3 linked regions of the Saccharomyces cerevisiae S288C genome follow. Changing the gene in region 3 together with the main gene of any one other region gives a genetic interaction. Each region holds a gene or a part of one and is shown on either strand. Other genes may lie near its edges.

Region 1 (6,311 bases), on a different chromosome or scaffold from region 3:
TTTTTGAACATTGAAAGGGAAAAGGAAAAGAATATTCAAGCCGTCAAAGTTAATGAATTGCAAGTCAAGCATCTTCAAGAGTTGGCTAAATTAAAACAAGAATTACAGAAACTGGAAGATGAGAAGAAGTTCTTACAGATGGAAGCGAGAGGAAAATCGAAAAGGGAAGTTATTACGAATGTAAAACCACCGTCAACAACATTATCAACAAACACAAACACTATAACGCCAGATTCGTCCTCAGTTGCAATCGAAGCAAAACCTCAATCACCACAATCAAAAAAACGTAAGATAAGTGATAATTTACTGAAAAAAAATATGGTTCCCCTAAACCCAAATAGGATTATTCCCGATGAAACGAGTTTATTTCTAGAGTCAATATTACTTCATCAAATAATAGGCGCTGACCTGAGCACAATAGAAATATTAAATAGATTGAAGCTTGACTACATCACAGAGTTTAAATTTAAGAATTTCGTCATTGCTAAAGGAGCCCCCATAGGGAAGTCCATAGTTTCTCTACTTTTGCGATGTAAAAAGACGTTGACCCTCGACAGGTTCATAGATACTTTGCTAGAGGATATAGCTGTTTTGATCAAGGAAATATCAGTTCATCCAAATGAATCGAAATTAGCTGTCCCATTTCTCGTTGCATTGATGTATCAGATTGTACAATTTCGTCCTAGTGCCACTCATAATTTAGCACTGAAGGATTGTTTTCTTTTTATTTGCGATTTAATAAGAATCTATCATCATGTATTGAAAGTACCGATACATGAATCAAATATGAATTTGCATGTAGAACCTCAGATTTTCCAATATGAACTGATAGACTATTTGATAATTTCGTATTCCTTTGATCTCCTAGAAGGTATATTAAGGGTACTGCAGTCGCATCCTAAGCAAACTTATATGGAATTTTTTGATGAAAATATTCTAAAATCATTTGAATTTGTCTACAAACTAGCACTAACCATTTCATACAAGCCAATGGTAAATGTAATATTTAGTGCAGTCGAGGTCGTTAATATTATCACTAGTATAATATTAAATATGGACAATTCCTCAGATCTGAAATCCTTGATAAGCGGTAGTTGGTGGAGAGATTGTATTACAAGATTATACGCTCTTTTGGAAAAGGAAATTAAGAGTGGCGACGTATATAATGAAAATGTGGATACTACAACTCTTCATATGTCGAAGTACCATGACTTTTTTGGGTTAATCCGAAATATAGGTGATAATGAATTGGGAGGATTGATATCAAAGCTGATTTATACTGACCGATTGCAAAGTGTCCCAAGGGTAATTTCTAAAGAGGATATTGGGATGGATAGCGACAAATTCACTGCCCCTATAATAGGTTACAAGATGGAAAAATGGCTTTTGAAGTTAAAAGATGAAGTTTTAAATATTTTTGAAAATTTATTAATGATCTATGGAGACGATGCGACCATAGTAAATGGAGAAATGCTCATCCACTCCTCTAAATTCTTATCCAGGGAGCAAGCGTTAATGATAGAAAGGTACGTGGGACAAGACTCCCCGAACTTGGACCTCAGATGCCATCTTATTGAACATACTTTAACCATAATATATAGGCTATGGAAAGACCATTTCAAACAATTGCGTGAAGAACAAATCAAGCAGGTAGAAAGCCAATTGATTATGTCACTATGGAGGTTTCTCGTATGCCAAACCGAAACTGTGACAGCAAACGAAAGAGAAATGAGAGATCATCGACACCTTGTAGATAGTTTGCATGATCTGACGATAAAGGATCAAGCCTCTTATTACGAAGATGCCTTTGAGGATTTACCAGAATATATCGAAGAAGAATTGAAGATGCAATTGAATAAAAGAACGGGGAGAATAATGCAAGTAAAGTACGATGAGAAATTTCAAGAAATGGCAAGAACTATTCTTGAGTCAAAATCATTCGATCTAACCACACTAGAGGAGGCCGATTCATTATATATCTCAATGGGACTGTAAGGCAACAATCAAAAGGGGAAAATGTCAACGCTTTATAGAAACCTTGTAATGCTTAATATTAACTATATATAATTTATATTATTTTCGTTTTAGGAAAGAACAAAACTTATAGATAATATCAAATTTAAGCAGAAGTAGCCTTAGCAGAACCGGTTTGGAAACCGTTCTTAAATCTTCTGGAGACATGCTTCAAATATCTCATTCTACCGGTACCAGTAGTGTGTCTTCTCTTTGCCTTGGCAGCCCAGTTGTGAGATCTAGTCTTAGCGGATGGGTAACCACAAGAGGAACAGGTCTTCTTTTGAACATGGAAAGAACGACGACCACATCTGTTACACAAGGTGTGAGATTTGTTGTGACGCTTACCGAATGAAGGAGTACCCTCTGTTTAAAATGAAAACATAAAAGTTAATTATCGTTAGTAAAACTTTGAACTAAATAAACTCTACTGCTGGATTCAGAACAACTTCATTGGCGGTCTAGATGTGTGTTGCTGTCTTACACTATTTCTTCTCACCTTTTTGTATTGACACTCAAATCTTTTTATTCGCTCTTTATGCATCCGTTATGTGCAATTTCTTATCATCAATGGCTCTGGCAACATTCATCATTCTATATTTTTAAATCTTTTGGCATAGTGAATAACGTAGGTCTTAGTTTACCTGGCCTCTCCTGGTGGAAAATTTTTTCAGTGCTTCTTTCTCATGTAATCCTCTAAATCAGACCGGATGTGATTGAACGTTGACTCATCAATTAATAATTCCTGTACATACTACCCATCTTTACTTATATATTCGTTTACCTCTTTGTTCTTTATCTACACATAGTAGTGCTTTTTGTTACCGCTTTCTATAGTAACCTATGCTTACTATTCCAGCCATGTTTCCAATCTCATCCTTCCCGCAAGTGGCAGGAAGATTCTCAGTGATAATATTAGTGGTGTACGGAGTGCTTGAAGAAAAAAAAAACTGATATAGAACCCAAAAATGTTCGGCTTTTAAAATACAAATATGTACAGGTGTTAATGTCTAAATAATGATAATCCAAACGCGATAATTTTTTTTTCGCGTTTGTTTTTGTTTCAGAAGAATAAGTAAACACTTCTGCCTCTCCCAAGAAAGTTTAATTTCTCTCCTTATTTGCCGTTTCTATCGTTACTAGCAACGGGGAACAATATATAGAAGCGTTTTTTTTTTTGGTATACTATTTACACAATATTTGCCGATTTCATTAGTCTTTTCGCTAGAAGTTTCACGACAAAATCGTCACAATTTTGGTTATGTCCCATCTCTTCCCACCATCATCACCAGTTGCTGGTAAACCTTTGGAAAGCCCACAAAAAGAACCTGGTAAGCTTGCTAATACTTCTGTATTGACCTTAGGAAGAAAACGGTATAATTACGAATTGGAAGAGTATCCTACTCCAGACCCGTCGTCTAGCATCGGAAGACAATCTTCACCAGTGAAAGATATCACTTCACGTTTAAATGAGACCAAATCTGCCTTGTCATCTCCTTCAAAGCAAGAAAAGGTGCTTGCAGGCCCTATCGAGATTGAATTAGATGCATCGGATCCCTCACGTTTAGCCATCGGTAGGAAAAAATCAGTCTGCAACATTATTTTGCCATGCAGAAAGAATATCTCTAGGCAGCACGCTTTTATTTCATACGCCGCCGACAGAAATGAAATAAAATTGGAATGTAATGGAACTAATGGGTTGTCCGTTCACTTGCCTTACTCCATGCAGTTGCATTTGGTAAAACCCTTCCCAACAAGGAACTTTTATAAACTAGTGGCAGAAGAGCCTTTGACCTCGCAAAATACTAAACAATCGCATGGAAAAACTCTTCAAAAGAACCAAAACTTCATCAGCTTTGTTTTGGCTAAAGGTGAAACTGTTACTTTCCCCTATATCCAAGGAAGTTTCATAAATTTTACAGGCGTCACAGTCTGTCTTTCATTGAAAAAAGTAGCACCTTATCCTGGCGATGGCAACAATAACTTTGACGAAGAGAACTCGACAGAAACGGAGGATGAGTTGTGTTTATTAACAACAACGAGCGATGATTTTTCTTGGCAAAAAGAAACACCTTCGATGAAATTTGTCCCAGTTGAGCATTCACCTCGTACAGAACAGATCTCAAAACCATTACTTATTGCATCTCCTGCTCTTGTGAAAAACTCCCCCATTAGTTATAGAACAACACCCCAAACATCTTTCGTTATTAATCAGCCATCAACTCCAAAGAAACTGAAGCGTAAATCAATTTCATTGAAAAATAACACTATACAAGAGACACCACTTCCTAAAGATAAAATAATTGGGACATTAAGTGCCAGTACTAGGAGTGGTGGCATTAATGAAGAAGAATCTTTCGCAGCAGTTGCAAAAAAAACTAAAGAGCTGTCTTCTACAACCGCGATTGTATCTCCTGCACAAAAACGTCTTAAGACTTCATTGAATATTATTCCCGAAATTTCTCGGTCGCTCTCAGAAAGAGGAATTCGGTTTGATGACCTAGTTCATGTGCTATGTAATCATCTTGCATTTTCTAACCTTCAACAAACGCCTTTATCCCAATTGCAAAACATCAATTCCAACACTTCACAATTAAGCAAAGATGAACTAAAAAAGGTCTTGGAGACTATTTCTTGCATTGGTATTATTGTGCGTGAAGGAAAAGATGCGTCTGGCAAGCCATTAGAAGACGAGTATTACTATGATGTTGAAAACGATGATAGCGACGAGAGAAAGATTTTGTATAATTCGTTAAAAGGCAGGAGCCGATTAAGGTCGTGCAGGAAGAAACATAAACAGTATTTCTGGAAGAGGCCGACCAAATAACCTCAAAGACATTCTATATTTCAACCTTATTTCCATAGCATAGTCATATTACCACGTGGAGCATCATGAAAAAAACTGGTAAAACTCGTCAAAAAGTTCTAAAAACATAAAGTAATATTTTCTATATATTTCCGTTGAAGGAGCTAATACATAATCCATACAAAATAGATCATTATGCCTAGATGTTATTCTATTGGTGTTTGTCAAGTTTAAGAATGTTTAAAACTTTTCTATTGTATCATTTTCTAGTAATTACATGACTCGAGTTGAGCGAATCAAACGATAAGGCATCGTCTTCTCAATATAGGGAGGTGATCGGGACCAGCCTAGCATAAAGAAAGGGATTGAAATAATTATAAAAATCAAAATAAAACATTTATTGTCTAAATGTTTAAAATTCCAATTTCTTTGGTTTTTCCCATGAGTACTCTTGATTAGTGAAGTGACCATAAGAAGCGGTTGGTAAGTAAATTGGTCTAGCCAAATCTAATTCCTTTACTAACACACCTGGTCTCAAGTCGAAGTTCTTCTTAATAATTTCAATGATTTCGTCATCTGATTTTGTAGCTGTACCATAGGTGTCCACATGTAAAGACAATGGTTCAGCAATACCAATAGCATATGAAAATTGGACTTGGACTCTCTTACACAAACCAGCGGCAACTAGAGACTTGGCAACCCATCTAGCAGCGTAAGCAGCGGAACGATCGACCTTGGAATAGTCCTTACCGGAGAAGGCACCACCACCGACGGATGAGGCACCACCGTAAGCGTCGACAATAATCTTTCTACCGGTCAAACCAGCGTCACCTTGAGGACCACCGATGACGAATCTACCGGATGGTTGGATGAAATATTTGGTATTTTCGTCTAACATATCCTTTGGTATGACCTTTTCAACAATATCTTTTTGAAGTTGAGTTCTCAAGTCAGCGGTGGAAATTTCATCAGCATGTTGAGCAGAAATAACAACGGTATCTATCCTCTTTGGAACCCATCTACCATTGTCGTCTTCGTATTCGACAGTGACTTGAGTCTTTGTGTCTGGTCTCAACCATGGGAGAGAACCATCTCTTCTAGCATCTGCCATAGCCATGTTCAATTTGTGAGCCAAAAGAATGGTCAATGGTAACCCTTCTGGAGTTTCGTCTGTAGCGTAACCAAACATTATACCTTGGTCACCAGCACCTAAGTCTTCTAAGCTCTTTTCATAGTGCAGACCTTGAGCGATATCTGGAGATTGTTGTTCGATAGCTACTAAAACATTACATGTCTTGTAGTCGAAACCCTTGGCAGAATCGTCATAACCAATCTTCTTGATGGTATCTCTTACTATTTGTTGGTAGTCAAGTCTAGCTTTGGTGGTAATTTCACCGAAAACCATAATCATACCAGTTTTGGCAGCTGTTTCACAGGCAACCTTGGAGAATGGATCTTGTTCTAAACAAGCGTCCAAAATAGCATCAGAAAC
Region 2 (6,651 bases), on a different chromosome or scaffold from region 3:
TACATTAAAGAACAAAGTTCGGGATTCAGCTCGCCTTCATTCAAAATTCTTGGGGCGTCTTGAGGTGTATTTTGCTGTTTGATTGGAAGATTTAGCCTGCCATTACCTAAAACTTCCTTGGATACATTGAAGCAAATTGTCAAATTCCAACACCCGTCTTTGATGCTAGCGGCTGTTACAGATGGTAATGATGGTAGAGCAGTTGCATACATGGCAAAAATCCTAGGCTTAAAGTCTACAATATTTACTCCATGGAATGTTCTAGAACAGAGCGTGAGAACATCAGATCAGAAAAGGGAGCAGAAGTTATCAAAATTAAAGGTAACTATGATTATGCAATAAAAAGTTCTTTAGAGTTTTGTAGTAGCGATCCGACAAAAAAATCAACTTATTCAAGATTTTTCATTCATAGGTTATGATGAAATTCCTAACTGGATTTCTTATGGTTACACTACCTTGTGTAGCGAAATACCATTCGATCCTGCGGTAATATTTGTCCCTTGTGGGGCTGATTCTTTTGCTCAAGGAGTGATAACATATTACAGGTCGCATAAATCGAATACGAAAGTCTTCTCGGTTGAACCAGATACCGCTTACACTGTCAATAAGTCATTGGTGTTACAAAAGGCTTCATCTGATCTAGGAACCTCTAGAACAATCATGGATGAGTTGAACTGTCCGAGGATTTCAGCAACAGCATTTCTTCTACTACAGAAAGGGGCCATCTATTTCCTGTTTAGTTTCCGATGAAGATTGTATGCAAGCAATTAAAACACTAGGCTCGCTAGGAGTAAATTCAAGTCCATGCGGAGCTGTTACGTAAGCCACGTTTATTAGATTCATTGATAAACTGAAAAACATGGGTGAGTTAAAAGTAGGTGGTAAATTTGTGTTGTTGTCTACGGAAGCTATAGGTTATCAAGGAATCTTTAACTATGGGTATTGCTGACGGCTTTGTATCGGGCTTTTGAAAAATACGATATTTCAGAGCCATATGCGCAAAAATATATGTACAACTTCTACTTTGTTGTTTCAAAATTATCCAACTAGTTGTTTTGTAGTTGAAAAAAAACGAGTATTAGCGTTCTTCTTGGCCCTTATCTTATTCTTTATTTTGCCAGCTAAGGTTATTTAAGTTGAAAGATATACATAACGTCATATAAAGTAATCTCTTTTTCAAAATGTTAATTGAAGCGATACACAGACGATGATGAATAAAATCATGTGAGTATAATTTTCCTTATAACCTTTTTTACACGACAAAACCACCGATGATGTTCTGACCTACACTTTCATAATTGCATCCGTTCACCGAGATGCATAGCACCATACGTACTTAGAGTAACCATAGCTATTTACAATAGGTAACAATATACATAGTCTATGGTAGCAGAGTGCGTACGGGCTCTTCGGTTACTGACGTAATCATATTATTTCTTAAACACCAGTGGTTATTTTGCTGCATCTCTATTACGGTATTCTTTTTATTGCTAGCATTTAGCCGCGGAGTGAGATCACATGTCATATTGATATGCCTTTCTCTACTGAATGAAATCGAACTAAAAAATCTGTAGTGTCAAGCTCAAGCCTGGTTCACAAATATTATATTCAGGAACGCAAGTAGATAAAGCAGAATCATTTCCGCTGAATAAGTACGATATACGTTTTTTCTATCTTTATACAATACAAAATTATTACTTTTCTAAATACAATGACTTCATTATGCAGTGTCATTGAAATGCATTCACAATATGGTAAGCCTCTTTATTACAATCAGACATACAGAAAAAAGAAAGATTATCTGCTTCATCATCCATAATATGATACAGCTAGAAAATTGAACCATATATTAACTGGGCAAACATTGGCTACTAGATGGTTGTCTACTCCAGCCTGCCTAAGACAAGCTATAGTCAAAAATTTCATTCATTTCTCAAACAACATTGCTTGGAAATCCAAAAAAAAAAGGAAAAAAAATCAGATTTGTAAAGGATTCAAAGAAATTTCTTCTGCGAGACGTTCAAAGCCTAACTCAAAATCCCTTTTTAAATCTTCAAATTCTTCGAGACCCACTTGTATTCTTAGTGCAAAACCTTTGTAAGGCCATGTTGAAGCTTTTCTAGCCACCCCATGAAAATCCCAATTGCAAAACTTTCATCCCTTCTACCATTTTCTCCAGACCAGCTCTTGTGAACCCATTTTTAAGGACAATGGAAAATAAGCCTGAAGAACCTTTGTAGTCACGAACCCAGTATTCATGTCCGGGACAATCTTCAAAGGCGGGGTGAAGCACTTTTTCAACCTCATCTCGATTTCCGAGCCAAGCAGCCAAATCCAGGGCTTTTCTTTCTACCTCTTTCAATCTTAAGTGCAATGTACGCATTCCTCGCAATGCTAATTGACAGTCCTCGGCACCTGGTAACATTGCCATTGCATCATAAGTTGACCGTAATAGCGGCCAACATTCTTCATTTGCGGAGGCCAGACCAATAAGAAGATCTGAATGACCACCCAAATATTTTGTCCCAGCTTCTACCGAAATATCGATACCATGCGCATGAGCATCAAAAAAGAGTGGCGTTGCCCATGTGTTGTCTAGAATTGTCTTTATCCCATGCTTTTTGGCAACAGAGACCAAAGCTGGAATATCCTGTACTTCCATGGTCCCAGAACCCGGGCTTTCGAGGAAAATGACGGTTGTATTTGGCTTAACTAGTTTTTCTATATCCTTCCCTATTGATGGGTCATAATAATCCGTTTCAACACCGAACTTGGCCAATAAACCATCACATAGCATACGTGTTGGCACGTAGACACTATCAGTCATCAAGATATGATCACCAGCTTTCGAAAGGGCCAATAGCGCCAAAGAGATAGAACCAAGCCCAGAAGCTGATAGCACTGTCCCAGCACCGCCGGTTAAATGCGTCCAGGCATTTTCTAAATTGTCAATAGTTGGAGAACCTGCTGTCCCGTAAAATCTTCCTTTCCTTTGTTCTAAATCACTAAGTTTTTTAAGAATGATGGTTGACCCCTTATACAAAGGTGGATTAACAAAGCCACTTTGTTCATCTGGATTACGTCCAATAACAGACAGTTGCGTAGTAATACCAAACTTCGATAACTCGGTACGATCAATCATTGTAGTGAATATTTTGGTTTTTGCTGGAATTTTATATTCACAGTTTCGAAACACGTTAAGTATTTTTTCATTGTGGTGTCCCAACACTAGAGCAGTCTTTCTTTTTATATGTCCTTGTCTTCTATATTTTTATCAAGGAATATTTAGCACTGATGAGCAAATTGGCACTTTCAACATTATTTGGATGCTACGGCGCCTTACAATTGAGTTGATTATACGGAATTTGAATGCCGAAAAAGAACGTTAAAAAAATATACTCAAAACAAGAGGCGACAATAAAATCGTTATCAATTTTTTTATCACTTTATGAATGTTAGATACGGATTGAAAAAAAATGCTTATCTTTCCGATCTTGATTGCCTTTTTTATTTTCGAGAATAATTCTTTTTTTCAGGTTCATGGCACATTTTTCAGGAAAACTTGGGTTCACCTCGAGCGTGAATATGGTGTGCTAAACTTTAAAAATTTCAGAACAAAGAGACTCTCCAGTTTCATCAGGAGCCTTTTGGAGTAAAAGGACGTTCACTCTTGCCAAGTAAAAAAAACGGTTATGCCATAATCTTAATCAAGCTACACGCAACATTCAAGAGACCAGTGGCTGAGTCACAATATTCTCGGAAGCTAAATCTTAAATCCGGGCTGGTGTAAGTTGTTGGTGAGTAATGGTGGAAAGTTTGGAACTTTTCTCATACGACAATTTTTGAACACGCAATGCCTATGTATACGCCTTGCGCCTAATAGTGCTCCCTATGTGTCGATCTGACCCATAGTATCGCAGTTTCTAATTTTGTGATAGAGGTTCTGGTTATAAGCAAGAAAAGTTTATACTGCTGGGCGCCGCCTAGCATCATTGTCTGCTTTCCAAAGGCATGGAAGGCGGCGGCAGTGTAATATTACCGCGTTATCGCAGACCTAGGGAGAATGTAATTTCTCACGTGTTCCTTTAGCAGCATATTTTTTACTTTTTAAAATAGAAAACAATGAGCCGGCATACCTATGACCTGCGCTCCACCTCATATGGAAACTGAAAGTACGTTTTTTTCTCTCTATATAACACAACTCAGCATCTTAGTCTTTAAAAATGGTTATTCATGGAATGATCAATAATGCACTTAACTGGTGAGGCTACTTTAAGGTCAATTAAGTTAGTAACGTTTCTTTTCATGTTTTCACTCGCCCTCTCTTTTAAATGATTCTTTTGTACTCTATAATTCATTAAAAGATGTTCCTCTTCTTTTTATTCGGAGATATTTTGGTAAATTTACTACAGTTTCCTTTCAGAAGATAGCGATGCCGTACGGCACAGGCGGTGTACATCTATGAGAAATTTGCAGATTAGCCTAGGCCTCTATTGCACTTATGTATATATATCTGACGTGAAAGTTCAGCGCAACAAGGAATGAAGGCAACGTGTCATTCAAATACAGTGGGAAGTCTACACTAATAGCTATGCGGTTTAAATTGCTTAGAATCCATAGCATTGTGGCACTATTAACGAGAGGTAGAGATTGGTATTGAAGGTACACATAACTCGATACTTTCCACCTTTCTCATCAGGAAATATTATTATTACTGTATATACTTTTATGCAAATCCAATTGCCCTGTTAAAAGTCACTATGGGTTGCCGGTATCAATTCTAGTATACACATGGTAATAAATCCGTAGAAGGGCCGACATGTACTACATTCTGTATATATCTCAAGCGTTAAGTGATATAACGATCGTGTTCTTATTTCGCATAAAGTTGTCAAGACCATGAGACAGGTCCTATAGAGGTAGTTTTGTTGATATTTGGGTATTTTCTCTTTTTCAAATCTTTTACCTTTATTTTGCATATTGTACATTCTCATAATAGGGACAAGAATATCCCAAGACAGAAATACGAAGCTAGCAGGTAAAGTACATAAAAACTTACACTAGCGTCAAGAATAACGTGCATTTAATTTTTTTTTTTTTTGGAACTCCTATATACGTAGACTAGAATATGCATAAAGAACTTTAAATATCTAGAACTCACGTTATGATATATTCTTACAGGCCATAAAAAAAATCAAGTCTTGTTTGTATAATCATTAGTTACCGGTGTAAGAAATTGCTGTATTTGTCATATTTGTTAGCTGCTTCCCTTCATTAAGCGATAATATTTCGGACATTATAACGGCATCATTGGCTATGATATACACGAAATACAACCAGCTTCGGTAAAGTATGTATTATTTAGTGATACAGGGCAAAACATGCATGAGAATATGAAGATTTTATTGTGTTGGTAAATTTGAAAGTATTCATATAGAGTATGATTAGGGGTTATTAACATATAAACACCAATGCAAAGCGCCATACAAGTCAGAATATGTCGATTTTTTAAATTAGAGCATTATTCCGCGGACAACACGCAATTAGAGAGACACAGTCTGATAATAAAGTACAAGAAGGGCACACTCCGGTAGTAGAATTCTTTCTTTGCGCGTGAAATATTTGAAACTAATCATTGTATGCCATTCGTTTTCTTATTATCATATATATTTTTCGGTCGCTAAGTTTCCGTCAAAAAAATTTGACTCAATAGTCATCTCCTCTTTCCTTTTTCGAAACTATCAGAAGTGACCATTACTACTAAGATTTGTAATTTAAGATTAAATAAATTCTTCCAGAAAATTTTTCTTGCATGATTGTGCATACGCTTCTCTCGACTGTTTGTTTGGTCTCCTTGTAATATTACGATTATTTTTACTTCCGTTTTATATGTTTCATTATCCTATTACATCACCAACCCTTGAATTTCGCTTCCATTAGATTTGATGACTGTTTCTCATACCTAATGTCATTTTCTTACACTGTATGTGATAATGTACTAGTAACACGATACTACTAAACAGATGATATTTTAGAGTTTCATTCCAACAACTTCAATGCTTCCAATTTATTTCCCCTCATGATAAAACAAGATCTCAGCTTCATTGTATTTGCCTTCTTTTTTTCTTCGAAGCCATTACGTGCGCATTGACGCTGCACTGTCCAAAAAAAACCTTAATTCTAATTTGATTGATTTTCCTTTCCCTTGTTTTTTGCAACTCCATGTATTAATAAAAGAAAAGCCAGGGTATCTTCTGTGAGTAAACTAACGTTTCATACCTTCTGTACGTATTAAGAAATATAATTTCTTCTGTAGCTTGGCATATACTGCAACAAGTCCGTAATTTGTCTTCTATTTGAACTTCTAGCAGCTGAAGATTCTACAAAAGTTTTTCTTTTGCCTTTCGGAATTACGCTTTTGAGGTAAGTAGGTTTCTATGTAAGTGACCTTATTCAGATTCAGAAGAACACTTTGTAGTTTAAAGCTTCTTTTAAAATTTCTAATGCCACTAAACTCTCTATCGGTTGCGCCATAGTCGAGTTTTATTTTACCATTACGTTTTTCTTCCTTTCTTTTTCAATTCAACCAATAAAGCCTCCTGCAACTTTCCTGTATTTCAAAGTTTCGATGTAGGCTTGGTGGTGAACATC
Region 3 (10,171 bases):
TAGACATCCAGGACATCCTTTTCAACATCCATGTTTCCTTTGTGAGACTTTCTGCCGTTTGCTCTTGTCCCTCTTTGTCGTCATATGCGTCTTGTTTGTTGTTACGCTGCATATCAAAGCGAACGGTTAGTTATTAACTAACGTAAAAATTGATGGAAACATTCATTTATATGAAAGTATTGAAGAAGAGGTAAAAAGGAAAACAAATTTACAAACAACAAAGAATGTCTTCTCTATCAACGTCTGATTTGGCCTCCCTTGATGACACTTCCAAAAAGGAAATTGCTACTTTCTTGGAGGGAGAGAACTCCAAACAAAAAGTCCAGATGTCAATCCATCAATTCACTAATATATGCTTCAAAAAATGTGTTGAGTCTGTCAATGATTCTAATTTAAGTTCGCAAGAAGAGCAATGTTTGTCTAACTGTGTGAATCGGTTTTTGGATACTAATATCAGGATTGTGAACGGGTTGCAAAACACCCGTTAATATGAAACCGATTTATCTCTCCGAGTCATTATTCTCTTTACCTTAATATATCTGTAAATAAGCAAATGAATATTTTAATATATGTCCAAGGTTTCTTTAAAAGGGATTCTTCAGCATAAAGGGCAAATAACTCTTTTTGTTTATATACTGTCTAGTTATATATATATATATATGTATATGCATTTGTCTGTGTCTGTGTCTGTTTCCTATGAGAACTCAAAAAGTAACTGAAACCGCGGTTGCTTAGATAGAGTCGATAACTGTTCACCCATAGCGCAGTCACAATTCAGCAACCAGCTTATCGTTTCCTTACATTGTTGTAGTATTGATTCGTTCAACGCATCCTCTTGCGAACACTTATCGTATGTAACTAGAATTAATGATAAAATGTCGAATCTGTGAGCCACTATTCTTTCATTCGGGCAAACCTTTATGAGAGTACTTACCACTGAAAGAGTTTTTGAAATAAGTTTTGGAAAAGTTGTGTAAAAAGGATTTCGTACAATATATTCACCTAAAACAAAAATCAGCCTCTGGAGATGTACAACAGACCCTTCTCTTTGAAGTCTCAGTATGTTCATTGTGCATTCCAATGCGTATAACGTCAAATTTTCGTATGCAAGGCTAGCCCTAGGAATTATGTTTTGCAAGATTATCTCTGACATGAACTTTTCCAGGTGATATTGATACTTTGTGTAATTGTCCAAAAATTCTACTTTATATAACGACTGTATCGTTGGGAAAACGACCCGCCATATGGCTATTGTTTCATCAGCATTGTATGAGGGAGGGAGAAAATAGCACATATTGATTAGCGTCTTTTCGAACAGTGGAAATAAACCAGTACTAGAGAACTGTATCCATTTTGAGTCATTGGTTTCGTTCATAAAGGTATGATTTAATAGCGTCTGTAGGAGCAGAACACCACGAAGTTTAATTCTTCTTATATCAGTGGTATCATCTAGTATGTTTAGAATTCCTGGAATAATCCAAGAAAGATTCGTAGATATGTCTCTCCTTTTCAAATGTAACAGAATTACGTAGAATAACGGAATGCCTTTCAAGCCACCCTGACTTACCCACGCCTGCATTAGGTTATCTTCTTTCAAAGACATTCCAAGCGTGGGTTTGAGACCAAGATTACGTTGCTCTTTGAGTTCGAAGTTGCTTTTGCGTTTTAAAAGTAGTGGCTGTAACTTAGAAATAAGGACGCACATAATTTCGTCATGTTCACTTTTGTTACGCTGAAAGTAGTAATCTATAGTCTGCAAAACATCTGTGTTGATTTGTATGTCTACTCCTGGAGATATGGAGTGATATGAGAGAGATTCAATAAGGTTGACCTCATCGGACACCGTAATTGCACATCCAGTATCTGTCTTCTTTCGTAACTGGAGACACAACTCTCGAAGCCTTGTAGAAGAAAGACTCGAATCATTCAATTCATCGATGATATCAGTTACGGCCGTCATTCTTTTCAATATTTTGTTATATGATTTTATTCTTCACCTCGTTTTCATTCTTCATAGTTTTCGTTTCTCATCTGCTATTGAAAAACCGAACTAGCCGAAGGATAACAATAATGAGTCTTAACTGTTAATATACAAGATTATACAAATAAATATGTTTCTATAAAATAAAAAGTTATATTCAATTGCGAAAAAAATAAATAAATGTGGGAAGAAAACCCAATAGTATGTCCTACTATGTCATATGCTATCATTAATAGGCATCTTCAGACACATCTTCATGGAAGTATTTACCCTCGGTGGTTGGTTTAATGATACCTACTCTTATACAGAAATCACCAAAGTGTTCCCCTTCTTCTCTTTCTAAAGCATACCTTTTAAACAATGGTTTGATGTAGTCGACAATTTCCTCATCCTTCACATTGGCCTTATACAATTTGTTTAGCCTTTGGCCGAGGTAACCACCACCAAGCATCAAGTTATAAGTATGTGGAGCTTTACCAACAAGAGCTAATTCACCTAGCCATGGACGAGAACAACCGTTAGGGCAACCAGTCATTCTCATAATAATGGAATCATGGCGTAAACCATACTCTTCTAAACAATCTTCCAACTGAGTAATAATGTCAGGTAGGAAACGTTCAGATTCGGCAAACGCTAAACCACATGTTGGCAAACCAACACAGGAAGATGAAGATAATCTCAAACCGCTGAAATCGGTGTTATCCAATTTATAGGTCTTTAAAATAGATTTTATTCCAGCAACATGTTCATCTGTAATATTAGAGATAACCAAATGTTGATTACCAGTCAATCTGAAATGACCAGAATTAGTCTTAAGCATGTATTCAGCAACCTTTCTAATACCTGTCTTTTGAGGCAAATCTGGTGTATCTTCAACCCTACCATTTTCAATAAATGCGGTAAAGTGGTTTAACCCAGTTTCATCTTTAATCCATCCAAAGTAATCAATATTAGATTTAAACTCAAATGGTCTCTCAGGCTCGAATTTCTTACCCCAGTATTCCTCCACTTTTTGCTTGAAGCCTTCGACACCCATATCATCTACAGTATACTTTAAACGAGCATGCTTACGGTCTTTACGGTCACCGTGATCTCTTTGGACAATAACGATACCTTCAAGTGGTGGAATAATGTCTTCAGTTTTAACAAAACCTAAGCATGACCCTAATCTTGGGTAAGTTTTCTTGTTGTTATGAGTGGTACCCATACCACCACCAACAAAAACATTATAACCCTCCACGATTTGAGTTTCTGGGTTAACTATAGCAACTAAACCGACATCGATAGATAATACATCCACATCGTTATATGGAGGAACGGCGATGTTGAATTTAAACTTTCTTGGCAGATAAGTTGGACCGTAAATTGGTTCAATATCGACCAAAGCGTTACCGCTAACTAGAGTCTTCTTTTTTCTTGGACCATCTTTTCTGTTTTCAAAAATAGATGGCCAGGATGGATCATCGTCCTGTTCTTCTGGGCCCTCCAGCCAAACTTCGTGGTAGGCCGTAGTCTTTGGTAAGAAATGATCAGAAATCAATTTTCCCATATCAGCGATTTGTTGGTGAACCTTGGCATTGGTTGGTAGAGCAGAAACCATGACATTTCTGTTCACGTCACCTGCAGCAGCTAATGTATCCATAAGAACTGCATTCATTCCTCTCAATGTGTGTTTCAAGTTCTTCTTTAGCACACCATGAATCTGGAAGGTTGCCCTTGTTGTTAATTTCAGGGTACCATTGCCTGAAGTATCAGATAAGTGATCCAGAGCAAGCCATTGTTGTGGAGTGGTCTTACCACCTGGTAAACGAGCTCTTGCCATAAACATATAGTATGGCTCTAAGCCTTGTGACTTACGTATTTCTCTAATGTCACGATCGTCTTGGGTGTAAATACCGTGAAATTTCATTAATTGTTCATTAGCGTGAGTAACACCACCTGAAGAAGTATCCTTTAAGTTCTCACTGATAGTACCTCTCAAGAAATTAGATTCTCTCTTAATATCCTCGTTTGTAACAGGTTTTGGCTCATCATCAACAGCAGCGCCGGAAACACCAAGAGCTTCCCATAATTTAGGTTCCCACTCAGAATAAGCAGTTTGGAAACCATCAGCATCTTGATCATCACCCAGTCCCAAGGGAATTAGGGCTTTGGCACTCAATAATTCCAAGCGCTTAAATAAATCCTGTGAAGGCTTGTTAAAATAATGTTTATCTTCTTTACGTGGCCAATACTCAGAATCACCGAGACCAAAAACAGCAACATTCAAACTAGCTAAATCCAAGTCGGTGTCATTTTTCAGAGCTTCCCAGAAAGACTTACCGTCTTGGGGGAATTCACCTTGCCCAGCCGTGGAAGTAATGAAAACTACATTCTCTTCACCAGGTAATTCTTCCAAAATAATGTCATCCATGGACAGAACAGTAGCCTTTAAACCTCTTGCAGATGCCCTTGCTGCTAGTCTCTTTGCCAAGTTTGCAGCATTACCACCGTCAGAAGCATAATAGACGTGTAGCGGTGGGCCGGACAAACCCTCCAATAACTGATCGAAGGCAGCCTTGCTTCTTTTTTCTTGTTTCCTTGTCAACGCATCACCAGCAGATTGCTTTAGATTTCTTGACAAAGATGGATCTTTTCTGGTTAATAGGGTAAGCTTATTCTCACGGTCTAAGAAGTCCTGTAATTGTTTTCTGATAACCGAAGAATCCAAGCTAAATGCCTCCTTATCTGTTGATGGATCGTCATAAACAGGATTAAACCTATACAATGGCCAGTAACCAGATTCAACGGCGTTTTTGGTTTCCTTTAAGACTTCTAATGGAGTATCATTTTCGGAATTATACGGCAAATAAGCCAAGACAATAGAAGGACCATTGTATTTAGATGCCTCTATTATTGCAGTCAATAGTTGGGTGTAAGAAGCATATACTGCTACAGAGGCAACATAGGCACTGTAATAATTCATGGCGTACAAACCAACATCTTTCTTTCTATCCTGGTTTTGCTTTCTATGGTCATATGGCTCTGAATCAATCAATAAAACATTAATGTTTTTACGGGAGGATAAAACCTGTTGAATACCTGAGTGACCCAAATCATAAGACCAGGCATCGGAGCCAATTAGCCAGCTTGATTTGAAAATAAAAGAATCGCTTGTTGGAGCTATCTTTAAGAATTTTAAGACAGTAGAGGAATCTTGATTAGATTGTAATAACTGAAATATTTCCAAACCTGTCGCATTGGCCTCTTGTAATTGAGCTTCGTCAAGATCGCGTCCATTGAATGACAACCATTTAGATAATAGTTGAACAATTTTATTTGCATCCTCGGACAAGTAAAGACTTGGATCAAGAGAGGTTTTTGCTAAGCTGATCAATTCTTCACGCTGGGCTTCTTGTTTTAAAAAGCGTCCAAAACCAAATTCTGGATTACTTGGTTCAATTGTCTCACTGGAAAATTGATTCAAAATTTGTAGATTTGATGAAAATAACTGTTTTAGCACTTTGATATAGGCGTCTTCTAAGTTCACAACTTTTTTGACAGAAGAAATAAGTTGAGTAACTTCAGCTTGTTCCTCAGCCTTTTCATTGGATTCACCTAAAAATAAGTTATTATCTGGTTCCTTCTTGTTAATATTCGATATGACGGTGTTGATAACGTTGCCATAATCATTCACATTACCAATATTAGTCAACACTACCTGCTCGATGTTCCTAGAAACTAATTCATTAAAATTGCCAAAGAAGTCCAAAAGAAATGGTTGAAATTCGTTTGATTGCGATTTCTTAGAGACACCCTGTAAAACGGCGATTTTGGTAACAGAAGATGGCAGTATTTCCAAGAACTTGGAAAAATTCCATGGTCTGTATACTCTAATCTTGATCAATCCTACGTTTGAAGGCAATACGCTACTGAATTCCGCGTCATATGGTGACAGGTTAACAATGACAGTGGTAATTGACTCTTTACCTTTAACCAGTTCAAAATTTGTCAATGAATCAGTAGCTTCTGATAATGCTACTTTAGTCTCTTCGTTAGCAATCTCCAAGGTAGGAAAGTCGATGTCTTGTTCAATAGCTGTACTCGTGCCAATTTTCTCCAAGTTAAGAAAATGGAAAACTGGGGTCAGAGAACTTGTAGCAATCTTATAAGAAGAGTCCGCGTTTGAAATTGCAGTTTGCAAATCAGAAGATATTAAGATGGGGAAAGAAAGATCCTTTAACGCAGGAATTGCGGAATAATCTTGCAAATTCAAATCCACTGTAATCACCAATGGAAGTTTATTAGGAAGAGAATATAGATGGTGGATGGATTTGACCAAAGTAGTTTCATCTGTAAAAACGGTAGTTAAAATGTCCTTAGAGAGTTGATCTTTGATGGTATTCAATGGATCTTGATTGTTCAATAGATGAGTAGCATCTGTGGCAACAGATTCTAGCCCTTTGAAGGATGAATGACTATTTTTTGTGCTAGTAGTGTAGAACACTTTATTTTGGGGAGCACTAGAGGAATATTGCGCCAACAATTGTGGGAGCGTCAAGAGGTCAGAAGCAGTCATTCGCCAATCTTTTGTTTTTCTCTGGTTCCCGTTCCCTACTGTTACTTTATTAGTATATAAGGGATCTGAATAAATATCAAGACGATGGAAAAAAAATAACAAGCAAAGGAACCTTTCTATATCCCAATTTTATTTCACATTAAAAACTATCGTCTTCCAACACTTTATATAACTGCTTGCAGCGGCCAGTAATTCGTCGCATCTCCATGACTCAAATTTTCCAGTGTCTCTTAGCAGTTAAACCATTCCTGCCTCTGTGTGGTGGTAATTGTGGCATTATGAGTTAAGAGATAATACGCACGTGATGAAATTCATTCTGTGAAATATCACGTGGACAAATTATATTACCCGGATTCATAAATCCACGTATTTTACCTGCATCTTTATTGAGTGCTTAGTAAAAGTCAGTTGGTGAAATTCCGCAGATAAAACAGCATATTAGTTGCCTGAAAATAGCCTTATGTGTTGGTTTGATACGTCTTTGTCATTATATACCCAAAGGTTTGTAGTTCATGTTGCGGGTTGGTATGAATAAATTTTTCGTATTTAGTGATTATAATACTTATTACCCATTTCGGCGGCTAATAAGGAATCTGCTAAGATAGGTAAATGTACAATACCATCAATGGCTTCTAAAAGTTTTCAAAGAAGTGGGATAAGGGATGAAAGTTGTGCGTGTGTTGGTTACTTAGGTTCTAATTTGGCTTCAATTTGAAGTGAGATGTTTTGTTTAACATTAGTTTCAAATTAACAGCTTTTGTGAGAAAATATATTTTGGATGAATAGCAGAAAATAGAAATCTGGAAATAAACAAAACAGAGCCAAAATTCTAAGCTTAATAACATGAATATTTGTTTATCTAGCATCTTGTTCCTCCCACTCTTTTTCCGAAAATATGGCTAGCCAACTTAGGTGAATGGGGAAGGGTACTAGATTCATTCATTTATTTCTATTCAAGGACAAGAACTTTTAACATAGTAAGACCTTTATGTTAGTTTGGTGCGGCTGACAAATTCATAGCTAATGTGCTAGAGCTCTTATATTGGTAATTACTAATCCTTCATTGCTATTATGACTATCACATTATAAGGTAATGAAAAATTAAATCATTGTGTACGGATTAAGTCCTTTCTCTAAAAGAGATCACGTGACTATTTGAATCACTATCTATGTTAATCATTATTGTTTAAAAGATAGTAAGTGACAGAACAACGAATTGTTTCTGTAACTACTTTTTAAGCAGGGAAATAACTCAGCACTGACAAGGGACACTTTTTAAGGATGTTCGCTAAATTGCATGGGAAGAAACAAAGACCAATTTCTTCCATCAATTCACAAACTCCAAGGACTAGCAATACTACTCACGCAAATAGCATATCCTTATCATCGGGTAATTTGATAGTAGGTTCCAATAGAAATTTAAGACAAAAGAAAGAGCAGTTTGGTTCTCAACAAAGGGCTTCCGGCAGAAAGCTGATTTCAAATAAGGAAAATGACGATAACGTCAACAATGGTGGTGACAACAATTATGACAATGGGGAACGGGTCCATCGCCATCATATTCCAGGACTGAAAATAAAGGCGTATCAAGCTGAATTAGGCTATCATGAGTCCCGATTTTCCGAGAATTTAGTGATGCTAAATCTAGTTGAGTTCCCGGATATAAAACCTGGTGATTTGGTAGAATTGAAAACATATCACAAAAATCCATCTGCATCGAACGGAGATAAGAAAATTTATTTTATTGCAAAAGATTTTGACGGAGAGACTAAAAGAAGGGCAAAAACATCTAATGTTTCAATACTTTCGGGTCAACTGCAAACTTTGTTAGATTTGCCTTCTAGGTCTAGGATATGGATAAAATTGAAACCAAACAAATTTGACTTACAGGCAGATGTGGTAGAGTTTAATATCAAAGATTGCCTACTAAATAGAGGTGATATGTGGGTTCTATCATCTAAGCTGGTAGATACATGTGTGTTTATGGATCAAAGACTGGCATTCTTAGACTCTATCAGAGGTACTATTAAGGGAATTTATCGAAATGGTAAGAAGATTGTTTCTGGATATATTGGCGAACAAACAAGGATAATTTTTCGGTCCGAATCTGCCAGATTAATTTTTTTGATTCAAATAACTGATGAAATGTGGAACTTCGAAGAAACTGGTGAACAATTATTTCAAAAGATGGTTAATTCATTTTTCCCGAAGATCTTCAAAAAATGGAAAGATGTGGACACCCACCATACTATCACTATAGCCTTCGCTATATCAATGGACTTGTCTGATACATCATTCAAGGACTTAACACCCGGCGAATCTTTGAAAAATTCACAGGATTATTTTAGGATAGTTGTAGATCAAGTCAGTATTATCCATTGGGTTGATATTATGGAAACATTAAGAGAAGAATTTATGGAAATCAGAAAAGATTTATTAAACAAGCAAACGGATAAGGGTTACAGTGTAGCGAATGGAAGATTTTCACCTGTAATCAAGTCGAATTTTCTCGAATTGGTCAATTTTGCCACGACAATTTTAACGGATCCTTTCAAGCAATTAGATCTTCGACACACTACAACGCACGTCATGATTATTTCACCAGGGTCTGGATTATTTGACGTTGATTATAGTTTATTAAGGCTAACAGGAAAAAAACTACTCTCTCTTGAAATGACGATGGATTTAATATGTCTTTCAAAAGCTCCATTGCACATAGTTCCACTTTTTAGGTACCGAGACTTTGAGAACAAGCTTCATCATTGTGTACCGCTTTGGTTAAGTGTTTTCTTTTGGAATGATCATGACAAAAAGAGTAACTCAGAATGGACTCCAAGATGTAAAATTTATGACTTACAAATGATGGGGATTACTGAAAATGAGTTAATTCGGGAAGTGGATGTTGAATATTTACAGCTGAACAAGAAAGTCAAATCACTATCCGAGTTTATGAATGATTACGACAAAAATGCCTTCGAGGTGAAAATTTTATGCGCTGGCTCTAATACGAAACAATCTAAGAAATTAAATTCAAAGTTTGATACCGTCTTCGAGAATGATGTTGTTGTGAAGGCAAGGAAAATCCCGGCAACAGCAACAACAACACACGGTAACACAAAATTCATATGGAGAGGTCCAAAAGTTGCTCTCCCAGCCATTAAGGATATTCAAAAACCAAACGTAATACCAGATCTATCAATAAAAACAATAGAGGCCTCTTTTTATGATGATTGTAATACTACAAATGATAAAATTAGCACTCCCACCACTTCTAACAATGACAATCTCGAAATGAATGACTCATTGGTCTCTGTGAGATCTGCTGATAACCAAAACACATCTTTGGCGCTGGATTCGCTCAAAGGACTAAGCAAAAGGAACTCATTGAAAGATTTTACTCAAAGAGTAATTACAAAATTTATTTCGAACATAGACACAAGTAAAAATAAAAAAATAAAGTCAACATTACTCAGAGATGATGTGGATAACTCACCTTTAGGTTCAAATACACCACTACCATCTTCTGAAAGTAAAATAAGTGGCCTGAAATTACAACAAAAAGGCCTGGCAGATGAAAACGTTATCAGTAAACGTGGAAATTTGATAATAAAGAAAAACCTATCCATTTTTGG

What was found. A genetic interaction does not mean that the proteins touch.
Region 1: mutations in MET5 (region 3) and RPL37B together harm fitness more than expected from each alone (negative genetic interaction), as found in Saccharomyces cerevisiae (2 studies listed by BioGRID).
Region 2: mutations in MET5 (region 3) and IRC7 together harm fitness more than expected from each alone (negative genetic interaction), as found in Saccharomyces cerevisiae (one large-scale study listed by BioGRID).

What each region holds. Positions count from the first base shown.
Region 1 is NC_001136.10:1,448,079-1,454,389, forward strand, and holds RPL37B (60S ribosomal protein eL37 RPL37B), read right to left. Parts: upstream 2,776-6,311; coding exon 2,769-2,775; intron 2,380-2,768; coding exon 2,120-2,379; downstream 1-2,119. Other genes in the region: LCD1 (Lcd1p), read left to right, coding at 1-1,995; PLM2 (Plm2p), read left to right, coding at 3,275-4,840; methionine adenosyltransferase SAM2, read right to left, coding at 5,232-6,311.
Region 2 is NC_001138.5:260,695-267,345, reverse strand, and holds IRC7 (cysteine-S-conjugate beta-lyase IRC7), read right to left. Parts: upstream 3,143-6,651; coding exon 2,120-3,142; downstream 1-2,119.
Region 3 is NC_001142.9:676,747-686,917, forward strand, and holds MET5 (sulfite reductase (NADPH) subunit beta), read right to left. Parts: upstream 6,540-10,171; coding exon 2,211-6,539; downstream 1-2,210. Other genes in the region: MCM22 (Mcm22p), read right to left, coding at 1-32; protein transporter TIM8, read left to right, coding at 225-488; TTI2 (Tti2p), read right to left, coding at 695-1,960; GTPase-activating protein IML1, read left to right, coding at 7,821-10,171. UniProt on the Saccharomyces cerevisiae protein: Catalyzes the reduction of sulfite to sulfide, one of several activities required for the biosynthesis of L-cysteine from sulfate.